Linked DNA regions of Macaca fascicularis. The protein of the gene in region 3 purifies or fractionates together with the protein of the main gene of each other region. This does not show direct contact. Links are inferred from orthologs where the notes say so. Each region holds a gene or a part of one and is shown on either strand. Other genes may lie near its edges. The genes, in order: CTNND1, JUP and CDH2.

Region 1 (3,749 bases), on a different chromosome or scaffold from region 3:
TAGAGAGCAACTACTTCATAAACCTAAGGCTGGATTGTAAATTACTTAGTGCTTTTCTTTTTGTTAATATCTCCAAATAGTCTCAATTTTACCCTAGCTCAGAGAACATGTTGAAGCTTCTCTGACTATCCATGCTGGAACCTTGAGAAAGGTACTAGAACTCCAACCACCTAAAAGAGAACCGCCCCCCCTCCGCCCCCCAATCTGGAACACAGACCACTACCTTACTCACATAACAAAGAAACCAACCGTATATAGGAGGCAAACAAGGAAAGAAAAATCTGAACAGCTCATACTTACCTGTCATCATTTTTTACCCCAAAACCAAGACGAGGAGCAAAATAAAAAAATTTTAAAAATAAAAGATTTACTTATCTGCATCCCTTATAATTCCTGAAAGAACCAGTGGAGGTGAGGTAAAAGACAAATCTTCCATCTTATCACCCCAAAGGCTCTGTACTACACACCAGTCAAAACAGCGCCTCAGTTCGTGGAAATAGTCCTGGACACTAGGTTAACCAGGATGCTCACTTCGACTACACAAAGCCCACTATTTAAAGCTAAACCCAAATCACCACCACTCAGTCATCCAGAACCTATTTTCAAACTGCCTTTGTACTCCTCCTTCAGATTCCCTCATCCCTCCCCCTAAAGGTTGAGTGGGAAACAGACACTCTGGAAGCAACATGACCAACACTCTAAAGATCCAAGAAACCTCCCCAGGCTGGAGTCAAGGCATAGAGAACATTTGAAAGAAAATTTGGAAAATACTAAACAGACTATACACATTGTATTTTTTTCTTTCTTTTTGACTGTACTTGTTATAATTATGAGATCCAGACATCAAAAATTTCCTGCAGCCTTTGCCTAGATTATATTCAAAGGAGGAACAAAGTTCTGTTTCCTCCTGAAGCCACAACTTCACAAGGATGAAATCATCTTTCAAGAAATACCCTCATTCTAGAAAAGAAATTCAAGGAAGTCTCGTCTTAAAAAAAATTTGCGGCAGGGGGGTGGGGGGTGGAACGAAATCAGATTATTAAAGATACATACCAGTTTAAAGCTAATGAGCAGCTTACACACTAAAGCCCATCTTGTTACAATTAGGACAGTATCTATAATTTTCAGCCTGATTCGCATTTTCAAAAAGAGAAGAGAATACCCTAGTTTTTCAGCTAGTGATGAGTTGGCTATATAATTATCTAGAATCAGTACTTTTGCAAGAATGTATTTGCGAAAACAAAACAAATCTTAAGATTAAATATATGAAAGCACAGTCATAGGCCTTCAGCTCTAAGAGATTTAAGATTTCATGGTAAATTAACTAAGCAATAAACTCCAAAAAACAACTTTCAGTTTGGTTTAAAAATAAAAATCTCCCTTGTGTTTTCTGAAACGTATTTTAAACACTAAACTTTGTATAAATGGTTTTTCTAAACCTAATTTTATTCCAGCCATGGCCATTTCAGAGTGCAGAAAGCTGAAAATATTTTCAGGTGTGTAGTCACTTTACTCAGGTGAAATAAAAAGCATGATTAGAATTTCCTTATCCCTTTAAACACATAAACCAAACGTTGTCGTATTTGCAGATTTAACAAACACCTCCACAAATCTTTGCTATGAAAGGTAGTTTAGAAGGAAGAAGGAGATGGCAATTCAGTTAACATTGTTCCGTATGTTTTCTTTTATAAGCCAAAGCAGGGAGACTACATCTAGCAGGAGAATGAGGTTCCCACCCACCGCACCTGGAAAAGTAAGAGGGATCCACCCAGGAACAGCAGGGCTGAAACCGATACGGGCCGTTCAAACTCTCTGGGGGAAAAACAATACCATTTACGCTGCAAAGCTCCCTGCAACTTTCCACTTCCACAAATCCAATGACAAAGAAAAAAAAAGTTTGAAACATATGAAGAACCATCTGCATAACTGGGTTCCGACACGGACAAATTCCTTTCCCAACCCACATGCAACATGCCAAAAAACCAACTTTTGGGCTCTGAAAACAGAAATATGTTAGCTTAATCCAGAAAAAAACAAAACAAAACAAAACAAAAAACATAAAATCAAAGAACACACCAAAATGTAAATTTTCAAACCTGCTCTTACCCCTCTGGATCTACTCAGCTTCCTGTATTAGAGAGACCTAGAAGTTTGTTTCCAGGTCTTGTATATTTCACCTTTTTAAATATAATAAAATACCAAAATCTACCCCGCCAAAGTATTGAAAGTAGAAAGAAAAATAATTGCTTAAAAGTTACTCATCAACATAACGAACTCTCTCCCGTTTTTTAATTCCCTCCCGTTACCGTAAGACAAAAATTCGACTTGCTTATCCTCCTTTTCCCGTCAGTACATACATTTTCTTTAAAAGCCACACACCTCAAATGTGGAGTTCTAAAAACCAGTCCTTTAAGAAAGAAACCCAAGGCTTCGCCAAGGTGCTGAGAAAGACAAATCCAGCAAGGCAGTTGATTTTTCGCCACCTCTTCCTCCTTTCAGGATCTTTCCTGCTCTTCTTTCTCTCTCTCTCCCTCTCTCTTTTTTTTCCCCCTCAGATCCAACACCTAAAATGGAAGTTGCACCCAGCCAAAGGCAAGGGAGCCTGGGTGGTGACAAACTGATCTGGCAGCCCTACCCCCTTCGCTTTCCTAAGTGATGTCAGCCCCTGTGAGCTTCCAATAGGAGTCAGGCATAAATCAGGGAGCTGACCTTATCCAATAGGAAACTTTATTATAGAAAATTAAAAAAAGAGAGGAGGAGAGAAAGACACAAGGGGAAGTTTATACATATATATTTATATTTATATATTTATATTTAAAGTGGAGAGACTGTACAATCTCTGAGGAATTACTGCAGAGCTGAGGGGGGCGGGGGAGGCAAGGGAGACAAGGAACAAGGGCTTTTCAGAATGGCACGCCTAAGTCTCAGTTCTCTTTGATGATGGGTTCTTGCTCCCTCTTCCGTACTATCCCAGTGGGGAAATAGAAAAGAACTGATTTTACTTGCCTGCTGCTGTTTGGTTTGTTGCTTCCTATCCCAAAGCATTTCCCTAAAGGAAGATGGTAAAGAAAGGAGAGAGAAATCCTAGAAACAGGACTACTATATGTTGACTGGGATGGTAGGGGATATCTGAGGTAAACCCAGTTTCACTGTTTTGGATTAGTTGCATTAGAGCTAATTTTTTTTTTTTTTAAATTTCTAGACTTGTTAACAGTTTTTAGTCTCTATACCCTGAATTAGAAGGAAGCAGAATCCACTGGGCTGTTAAAGAAAATCACTGTCTTCCCAATTTGTCCCCAAATCAAAATAATGTGGGTTTGTTGGGAAGAGGACATGAAATCCAATAAACAATATATTTAGAGGGAATAACAGCATAGGTAAAGAAAGTAAATATCGCCGGGCGCGGTGGCTCAAGCCTGTAATCCCAGCACTTTGGGAGGCCGAGACGGGCGGATCACGAGGTCAGGAGATCGAGACCATCCTGGCTGACACAGTGAAACCCCGTCTCTACTAAAAAATACAAAAAAAACTAGCCGGGCGAGGTGGCGGGCGCCTGTAGTCCCAGCTACTCGGGAGGCTGAGGCAGGAGAATGGCGTGAACCCGGGAGGCGGAGCTTGCAGTGAGCCAAGATCACGCCACTGCACTCCAGCCTGGGCGGCAGAGCGAGACTCTGTCTCAAAAAAAAAAAAAAAAAATTAAAAAAAAAAAGAAAGTAAATATCATGTCAAGAACATTTTATTTCTTTGTG
Region 2 (3,649 bases), on a different chromosome or scaffold from region 3:
CCCGTCTCTACTAAAAATACAAAAAATTAGCCGGGCGCGGTGGCGGGCGCCTGTAGTCCCAGCTACTCAGGAGGCTGAGGCAGGAGAATGGCGTAAACCCAGGAGGCGGAGCTTGCAGTGAGCCGAGATCACGCCACTGCACTCCAGCCTGGGCGACAGAGCGAGACTCCGTCTCAAAAAAACAAACAAACAAACAAACAAAATATATAAAAAATTAGCTGGGCGTGGTGGTGGGCTCCTGTAATCGCAGCTACTCAGGAGGCTGAGGCGGGAGAATCACTTGAACCCAGGAGGTGGAGGTTGCAATGAGGTGAGATTGCATCACTGCACTCCAGCCTGGGTAACAAGAGTGAAACTCTATCTCAAAAAAAAAAAAAAAAAAAGAAAAGGATTAGCCATGAGCACCCCCAGATCCTGTGGATTAAGTGACATGGCTGGGATGGTCTCCTTCTCTGGATATCTTCTAGTGTGCCTGTGTCTGGCCTCGGGGACAGAAGAGGTGAAGGAGAGAGGGGATACCTGAAGCTGGGAAGCTGGGATCCTTCAGATGTCCAAGAAGTGCCCCTGATTGCTGCCCCTTTTTTTTTTTGCCAGGCAACCATTGGCTTGATCAGGAATCTGGCCCTGTGCCCAGCCAACCATGCCCCACTGCAGGAGGCAGCGGTCATCCCCCGCCTCGTCCAACTGCTGGTCAAGGCCCACCAGGATGCCCAGCGCCACGTAGCTGCAGGCACACAGCAGCCCTACACGGTATGTGAGCTGGTGGTGCCTGTGACAACCTTCCTGGGGGGCAGGTGTCCTCTGTGGGTGTGTGTGTGAATGCAGAGGTCAGTTGCAACTGATGCCAGTTCCAAGAGCCTGTGAAGTTCATTCGGCTGACAGCACCTGTCCCATGCCCCCTGCCTCCTCTCTTGCAGGATGGTGTGAGGATGGAGGAGATTGTGGAGGGCTGCACCGGAGCCCTGCACATCCTCGCCCGGGACCCCATGAACCGCATGGAGATCTTCCGGCTCAACACCATCCCTCTGTTTGTGCAGGTGAGTCTGGGGCAGGTATGCAGGAGAGCTGCCCCCACCACTGCTTAGAGGGCAAGGTTAGGAGTCCCAGATTTTGAGGGCCTGGACCAGGCATCAAGAGGTCTTTGGAGGAGTTTGGAGGAAAGTGGCCACACCAGATTGACTACTTAGCAACCCCCTGCACAGGCATGGCTTTCTAAGCTTCAAAGCAAGGAAAGAGATCACAAATGGAAAAAACAAAAACAAAAAAAACTTGAGATTCAACCACATAAACATGAAAACCATCTATTTCAGAAAGAACCTTTAAAAAGCATTAAAAAAATCAGCAAACTGGGAGAATATGTGCAAGTACCATAACAGACAAGAGTTTAACATCTTTCATGTCAGTGACTTCTTTAACACTAGATTCCAATGGTTAGATGAAGCAGAGTAACAGGTAATTTCAAGGTAGTTCATGAACAACACTCAGCCCAGTTTAAAACAGTAACACTTACTCCCCAGTGATGGCCCGTTTTCCACTATGGAATTGCTACAGGGTGGAGGTGGGCAGGGCTGTGGGGTGTGTTGTCCGGCCTGCCTCACCCCTTCCCACCTCTCCCCTGCTTCCCATGTCCCCTCTCCCCAGCTCCTGTACTCATCGGTGGAGAACATCCAGCGTGTGGCCGCCGGGGTGCTGTGTGAGCTGGCCCAGGACAAGGAGGCGGCTGACGCCATTGATGCAGAGGGGGCCTCGGCCCCACTCATGGAGTTGCTGCACTCCCGCAACGAGGGCACTGGTGAGCTGGAAGAGGGCAGCTGGGTCCCACTCCCCCAGGCATGATGGAGGCTGGCAGACGTTTAACCTAGCTTTTCCTCTCCTCTCTGCTCAGCCACCTACGCTGCTGCTGTCCTGTTCCGCATCTCTGAGGACAAGAACCCAGACTACCGGAAGCGTGTGTCCGTGGAGCTCACCAACTCCCTCTTTAAGCATGACCCGGCTGCCTGGGAGGCTGTGAGTATCCTAGGCTGGACCGCAGTAGTTGGTTGCACAACTTGTGCACTGCCCAAGGGCAACTTGACTTTTGGGGGTCTCCTACTACTGTCAACTTTATAGATTTTTATTTTGTAATTGGATCATTTATAACAATTCCTAGCAGATGGAAGTAGTAGGTTGAACCATATGTCCACACAATGCCAATTTTTATTTTGCCCAAATGAGTATACGGTGTTTGAGGAGGGGGTGCTTTTCCTAATTTGCATGGAGGTGCTGGATAGGCTACAGGTGGTCTTTTCCAGGGTGGAGCAGTGCCCTGCACCCATTCGTGAGTCCTCTGCCTCCTACCCTCCTCCCATGAGCTGCTCTAATCCAGCAGGAGTTCCTGCTCCATGAATGGGGAACCCTCCTCCCTGGGGAGTACTGAGGACACGAGTACATCAGGGCACTGGGTGACCCCATTTCATCATCCTGTATTCCTCCAAGGCCTCTTTGCTTTTCTCTGGCCCCCTCTTTTATTTATTTATTTGTTTTTATTTTTTTTTGAGACAGAGTCTTGGTCTGTCGCCAGGCTGGAGTGCAGTGGCGTGATCTTGGCTCACTGCAACCTCTGCCTCCTGGTTTCAAGCAATTCTCCTGCCTTAGCCTCCTGAGTAACTGGAACTACAGGCACATGCTACCACACCCAGCTAATTTTTGTATTTTTAGTAGAGATGGGGTTTCCCCATGTTGGCTAGGATGATCTCAATCTCCTGACCTTGTAATCTGCCCACCTTGGCCTCCCAAAGTGCTGGGATTACAGGTGTGAGCCACTGTACCCGGGCTATTTTTTATTTTTTTCGAGACGGAGTCTCTCTCTGTGGCCCAGGCTGGAGTGCAGTGGCGCAGTCTCGGCTCACTGCATCCTCTGTCTCCCCATTCAAGCAATTCTCCTGCCTCAGCCTCCCAAGTAGCTGGGATTACAGGTGTGCACCACCACGCACAGCTATTTTTTTGTATTTTTAGTAGAGACGGGGTTTCACCACGTTGGCCAGGCTGGTCCAAAACTCCTGACCTCAAGTGATCCGCCTGCCTCCACCTCCCAGATTGCTGGGATTACAGGCGTGAGCCACCACATCCGGCCCAGTCCCTTCTTTTAGAAGCATCTCTCCCTGCCCCCCAGCTGATATCCAGCTTGGAGCCTGCATTTTCTTTTTTTTTTTTTGAGACGGAGTCTTGCTCTGCCGCCCAGGCTGGAGTGCAGTGGCCGGATCTCAGCTCACTGCAAGCTCCGCCTCCCGAGTTCACGCCATTCTCCTGCCTCAGCCTCCCGAGTAGCTGGGACTACAGGCGCCCGCCACCTCGCCCGGCTAGTTTTTTGTATTTTTTTTAGTAGAGACGGGGTTTCACCGTGTTAGCCAGGATGGTCTCGATCTCCTGACCTCGTGATCCGCCCGCCTCGGCCTCCCAAAGTGATGGGATTACAGGCTTGAGCCACCGCGCCCGGCCGGAGCCTGCATTTTCAAACCTCTCCTCCATGTTTCTCTCTCCTTTTTCAGGCCCAGAGCATGATTCCCATCAATGAGCCCTATGGAGATGGTAAGTGTGTGCCAGGCTCTTCAGGACCCTGGAGATCCTGGGTGGCTGTGTGGGTGTGTGTGAGGGGGCAATATTATGTCTC
Region 3 (3,649 bases):
AAATTGTGGTAAAGCAGATGACCTGAACAAAGTGATCTTAGCCATTGTCTGTATTATAACGCAGTTGTCATAATGAAAATTTAATATTTGTCTTCAGGGACCCATTCTCCTTATCAGGAATTTCCCTGATTTTTCTTGTTTTTTCTCCAGATCCTTCTTGGGCCTACTTATATGACCCCAAGTCAGACCATGCTGAACTAAGGGAATCCCTATTGCTTAAATTTGCAGTTGCTAGACTTTGTAAGGAAGAAGAGTGTAGGCTAATATGTGAATATTAACTCCACGAGGGCAGCCCATTGGATCTAGCTCATTAGTAGCTGTGTCTCTACCAGTAAGCAGAATACATTGCAATAATATTAATAGATAATCAACAAATATGTCTTGAATCGAATTAATAAACACAAACAAAATGAATGAAGGTGCATTCTTTGGCTTTTGTTAGCTAAGGCGCCAATCACTGACCACTCCAAAATATTGCTGCTTATAATAATGAAGGTTTACTTCTTGCTTAAATTATAAGTCAACTGTAGTCTGTCAGTGACTCAGTTCCTGATCCATATGTTTTCTTTGTTTCAGGATCCAGGCAGATAAACTTCCCATCTGGAGCAGGCCATTCTGGCAGAGGGGGAAAGGAGGATTGGTGGAAGGGTGGAAACACATTAGATAGAGTTCTTGAAGCAGCTACTTTTCACAGCTACTTACACTGCGTTGGCCAGAGCCAGTCAGACAGCCAAGCCTTACAGTGTGGTTGGGAAAGTAAACCCTGACCCCAGAGAGGCACTGTGGGAGGGGGGGTGTGTGTTCTGCCTTCAGAAAAAGGGCAGTGAATCACTGAGGGCAGTAACACAATTTACCACAGAAGGGAGTTACAAGTTTTGAGAAATTGTAGGTTGTGGTTCTCAGTCTTAGCAGAATTGCCTTGTAGTTTAGTCTAAAAATAAGATAAAATCCCATCTAAAATTATTTATGTTGTATATATCAAAGTATTTTGCTGAAACCTGCTTTATTTTATTTTACACAGGCTTTTCTGGAGTATAAATAGTATAAAATGACATGAGGAAAAGTAGCAAAGTACTGCTAAATTTCATGGTTAAGACTGTTAGTAAAGAGGTGCCTGAAGATGAGAAAACTGGTCATGTGTACTTTTTTCTCTGATTTTTGATGCTAGTCAGCAGCTGCCATTTTCTTTCTTAAAATATATCTTTACTGTTTTTTATTTTTTCAAATCCCAAGGCAGGACATTTTTCTCTCAACTTAAATTTTTAAAAAGTACTAATATTCATTGAGCTCTACATGTGCCAGTCACTGTGGTGAGCCGTCGGGTCCCTTTGTTGCATTTGGTCTTTATAGTAGTCTTATGATGATGATTACAGTTGCAGATGAGGTTATGTGGAGGTCCCACAGCTAGTACTGGGGAGAGCTAAGGTGTCATCTCACAGTCTGATCTCTTAACCACTACACCATACTGATTCTGACCTTAATTTTTTTGCTTTTTCCCTGTTTCTCCTCTGTAACCTTGAAAGGATAGATGAACACGTGGTCATAAAAACCCATGTATGCGCTCATAAAATGCATGTGTATTGGCAGGCTTGATCTCTCAAGTAGGACTGTCTGTGACACGTCTTAGATAGTTGAGGCCATATAAGCCAAGTAGCATTTGACACGTAGAATGTGGAAAAAGGGAATGTTTGTTTTAATGTTAGTAATGTTAGTATATCTAGGAGTACTAGAATGGAATTGGGAAAAAAAGTTAGAAAATATACCAAAGGACCTAATACTGAATCCTTAGAAGTTTTGCAGAGCATAGAGACTCTAATTGTATATTAAAAAGCATCTGCTTACAAAAGTTACAAATATAGATAGAGAGTAGTTATTTCCTCGTTTCTTTCTTTTTAAAATTCTTTATAAGAACCAGACAAGCGTGTTATTTTAGATTGACAGGAGTCCTCCTCTTTTCAATATTTATACCATGTACAGATACTGGATTATGATATTTCTAGGATTTTTGGAAGTTAGAAGTTACCCTACATTTTAAAATACCAGTTTAAAATTAATCAATTCATTCCACATTTTACGTTATGTTAATCACACAAATGATTTTATGAGTACCTCCCTTTATGTAGTAATCACATCTGACCCGTCTTCAGTCTTCCTTTGATGTCCTTCCAAAATTAGGTCAAATACAATGCTACTTTCTCTTTGAACTCCTAGCTCTTAATGCTGATCTGAATTTTTTTTCCCCACAACCTGATGGTTTTTGCTTTGACTTCACAGTTTTGTCACTTGTCATTTGCTTCACACAGTAGTAGTACCTGTTAGGCTAGATTGTAAGCCTAGGGAGGGACACGGACCATCTGGTACTCATTTGTATGTCTCTTGTATTTCACTGAGGTGCTTTTTTAAATTTAATCTAGCAGTGCTGCTCTATATATTATGTTATTTAAGATCCTTCCTTCTCTGCCTCAAGCAGAGCCATTCATTTCTGCCACCTGTCCAACTTATTACTCAGTTAACCCCCTCCCTTCATAAGTCTTGGCCTCCCTGAGCTTGAGTGCTTAGCGTTGTTTCTTTGCACAGGAAAGATGTAAGTTAATTTTTATCTAACTTTCAAATGGTTATATCCGCAGTTTCCATGTGTTGAATATGTGGTCTGTAAATGAAAATTTACAAACAAGTGTGTGTTTGATCCCATGAATTCATTAGGATCTGCTTGTGGTTTTGTAAATTGTAACCCTCTCTTAATTCTTTCATTCTTTGTGTTTCCAAATTGCAGGGCCTTAAAGCGGCTGACAATGACCCCACAGCTCCACCATATGACTCCCTGTTAGTGTTTGACTATGAAGGCAGTGGCTCCACTGCTGGGTCCTTGAGCTCCCTTAATTCCTCAAGTAGTGGTGGTGAGCAGGACTATGATTACCTGAACGACTGGGGGCCACGGTTCAAGAAACTTGCTGACATGTATGGTGGAGGTGATGACTGAACTTCAGGGTGAACTTGGTTTTTGGACAAGTACAAACAATTTCAACTGATATTCCCAAAAAGCATACAGAAGCTAGGCTTTAACTTTGTAGTCTACTAGCACAGTGCTTGCTGGAGGCTTTGGCATAGGCTGCAAACCAATTTGGGCTCAGAGGGAATATCAGTGATCCATACTGTTTGGAAAAACACTGAGCTCAGTTACACTTGAATTTTACAGTACAGAAGCACTGGGATTTTATGTGCCTTTTTGTACCTTTTTCAGATTGGAATTAGTTTTCTGTTTAAGGCTTTAATGGTACTGATTTCTGAAACGATAAGTAAAAGACAAAATATTTTGTGGTGGGAGCAGTAAGTTAAACCATGATATGCTTCAACACGCCTTTGTTACATTGCATTTGCTTTTATTAAAATACAGAATTAAACAAAAAAAACTCATGGAGCGATTTTGTTACCTTGGGGGATGAGACCATGAGATTGGAAAATGTACATTACTTCTAGTTTTAGACTTTAGTTTTCTTTTTTTTTCCACTAAAATCTTAAAACTTACTCAGCTGGTTGCAAATAAAGGGAGTTTTCATATCACCAATTTGTAGCAAAATTGAATTTTTTCATAAACTAGAATGTTAGACACATTTTGGTCTTAATCCATGTACACTTTTTTATTTCTGTA

The links.
Region 1: the proteins of CDH2 (region 3) and CTNND1 purify together in Homo sapiens (affinity purification with western blotting; 6 studies listed by BioGRID and IntAct, with this or other methods). This does not show direct contact. The link is inferred for Macaca fascicularis from reciprocal best matches to the Homo sapiens genes CDH2 and CTNND1.
Region 2: the proteins of CDH2 (region 3) and JUP purify together in Homo sapiens (co-immunoprecipitation; 4 studies listed by BioGRID and IntAct, with this or other methods). This does not show direct contact. The link is inferred for Macaca fascicularis from reciprocal best matches to the Homo sapiens genes CDH2 and JUP.

The regions. Positions count from the first base shown.
Region 1 is NC_088388.1:15,839,647-15,843,395, forward strand, and holds the start of CTNND1 (catenin delta-1), read right to left. Parts: upstream 2,595-3,749; 5' UTR 2,358-2,594; intron 610-2,357; exon of another isoform or gene 301-609; intron 1-300. UniProt on the Homo sapiens protein: Key regulator of cell-cell adhesion that associates with and regulates the cell adhesion properties of both C-, E- and N-cadherins, being critical for their surface stability.
Region 2 is NC_088390.1:62,792,332-62,795,980, reverse strand, and holds part of JUP (junction plakoglobin), read left to right. Parts: intron 1-594; coding exon 595-750; intron 751-917; coding exon 918-1,037; intron 1,038-1,641; coding exon 1,642-1,792; intron 1,793-1,885; coding exon 1,886-2,007; intron 2,008-3,527; coding exon 3,528-3,567; intron 3,568-3,649. UniProt on the Homo sapiens protein: Common junctional plaque protein. The membrane-associated plaques are architectural elements in an important strategic position to influence the arrangement and function of both the cytoskeleton and the cells within the tissue.
Region 3 is NC_088392.1:61,832,009-61,835,657, forward strand, and holds part of CDH2 (cadherin-2), read left to right. Parts: intron 1-2,773; coding exon 2,774-2,980; 3' UTR 2,981-3,649. UniProt on the Homo sapiens protein: Calcium-dependent cell adhesion protein; preferentially mediates homotypic cell-cell adhesion by dimerization with a CDH2 chain from another cell. Cadherins may thus contribute to the sorting of heterogeneous cell types.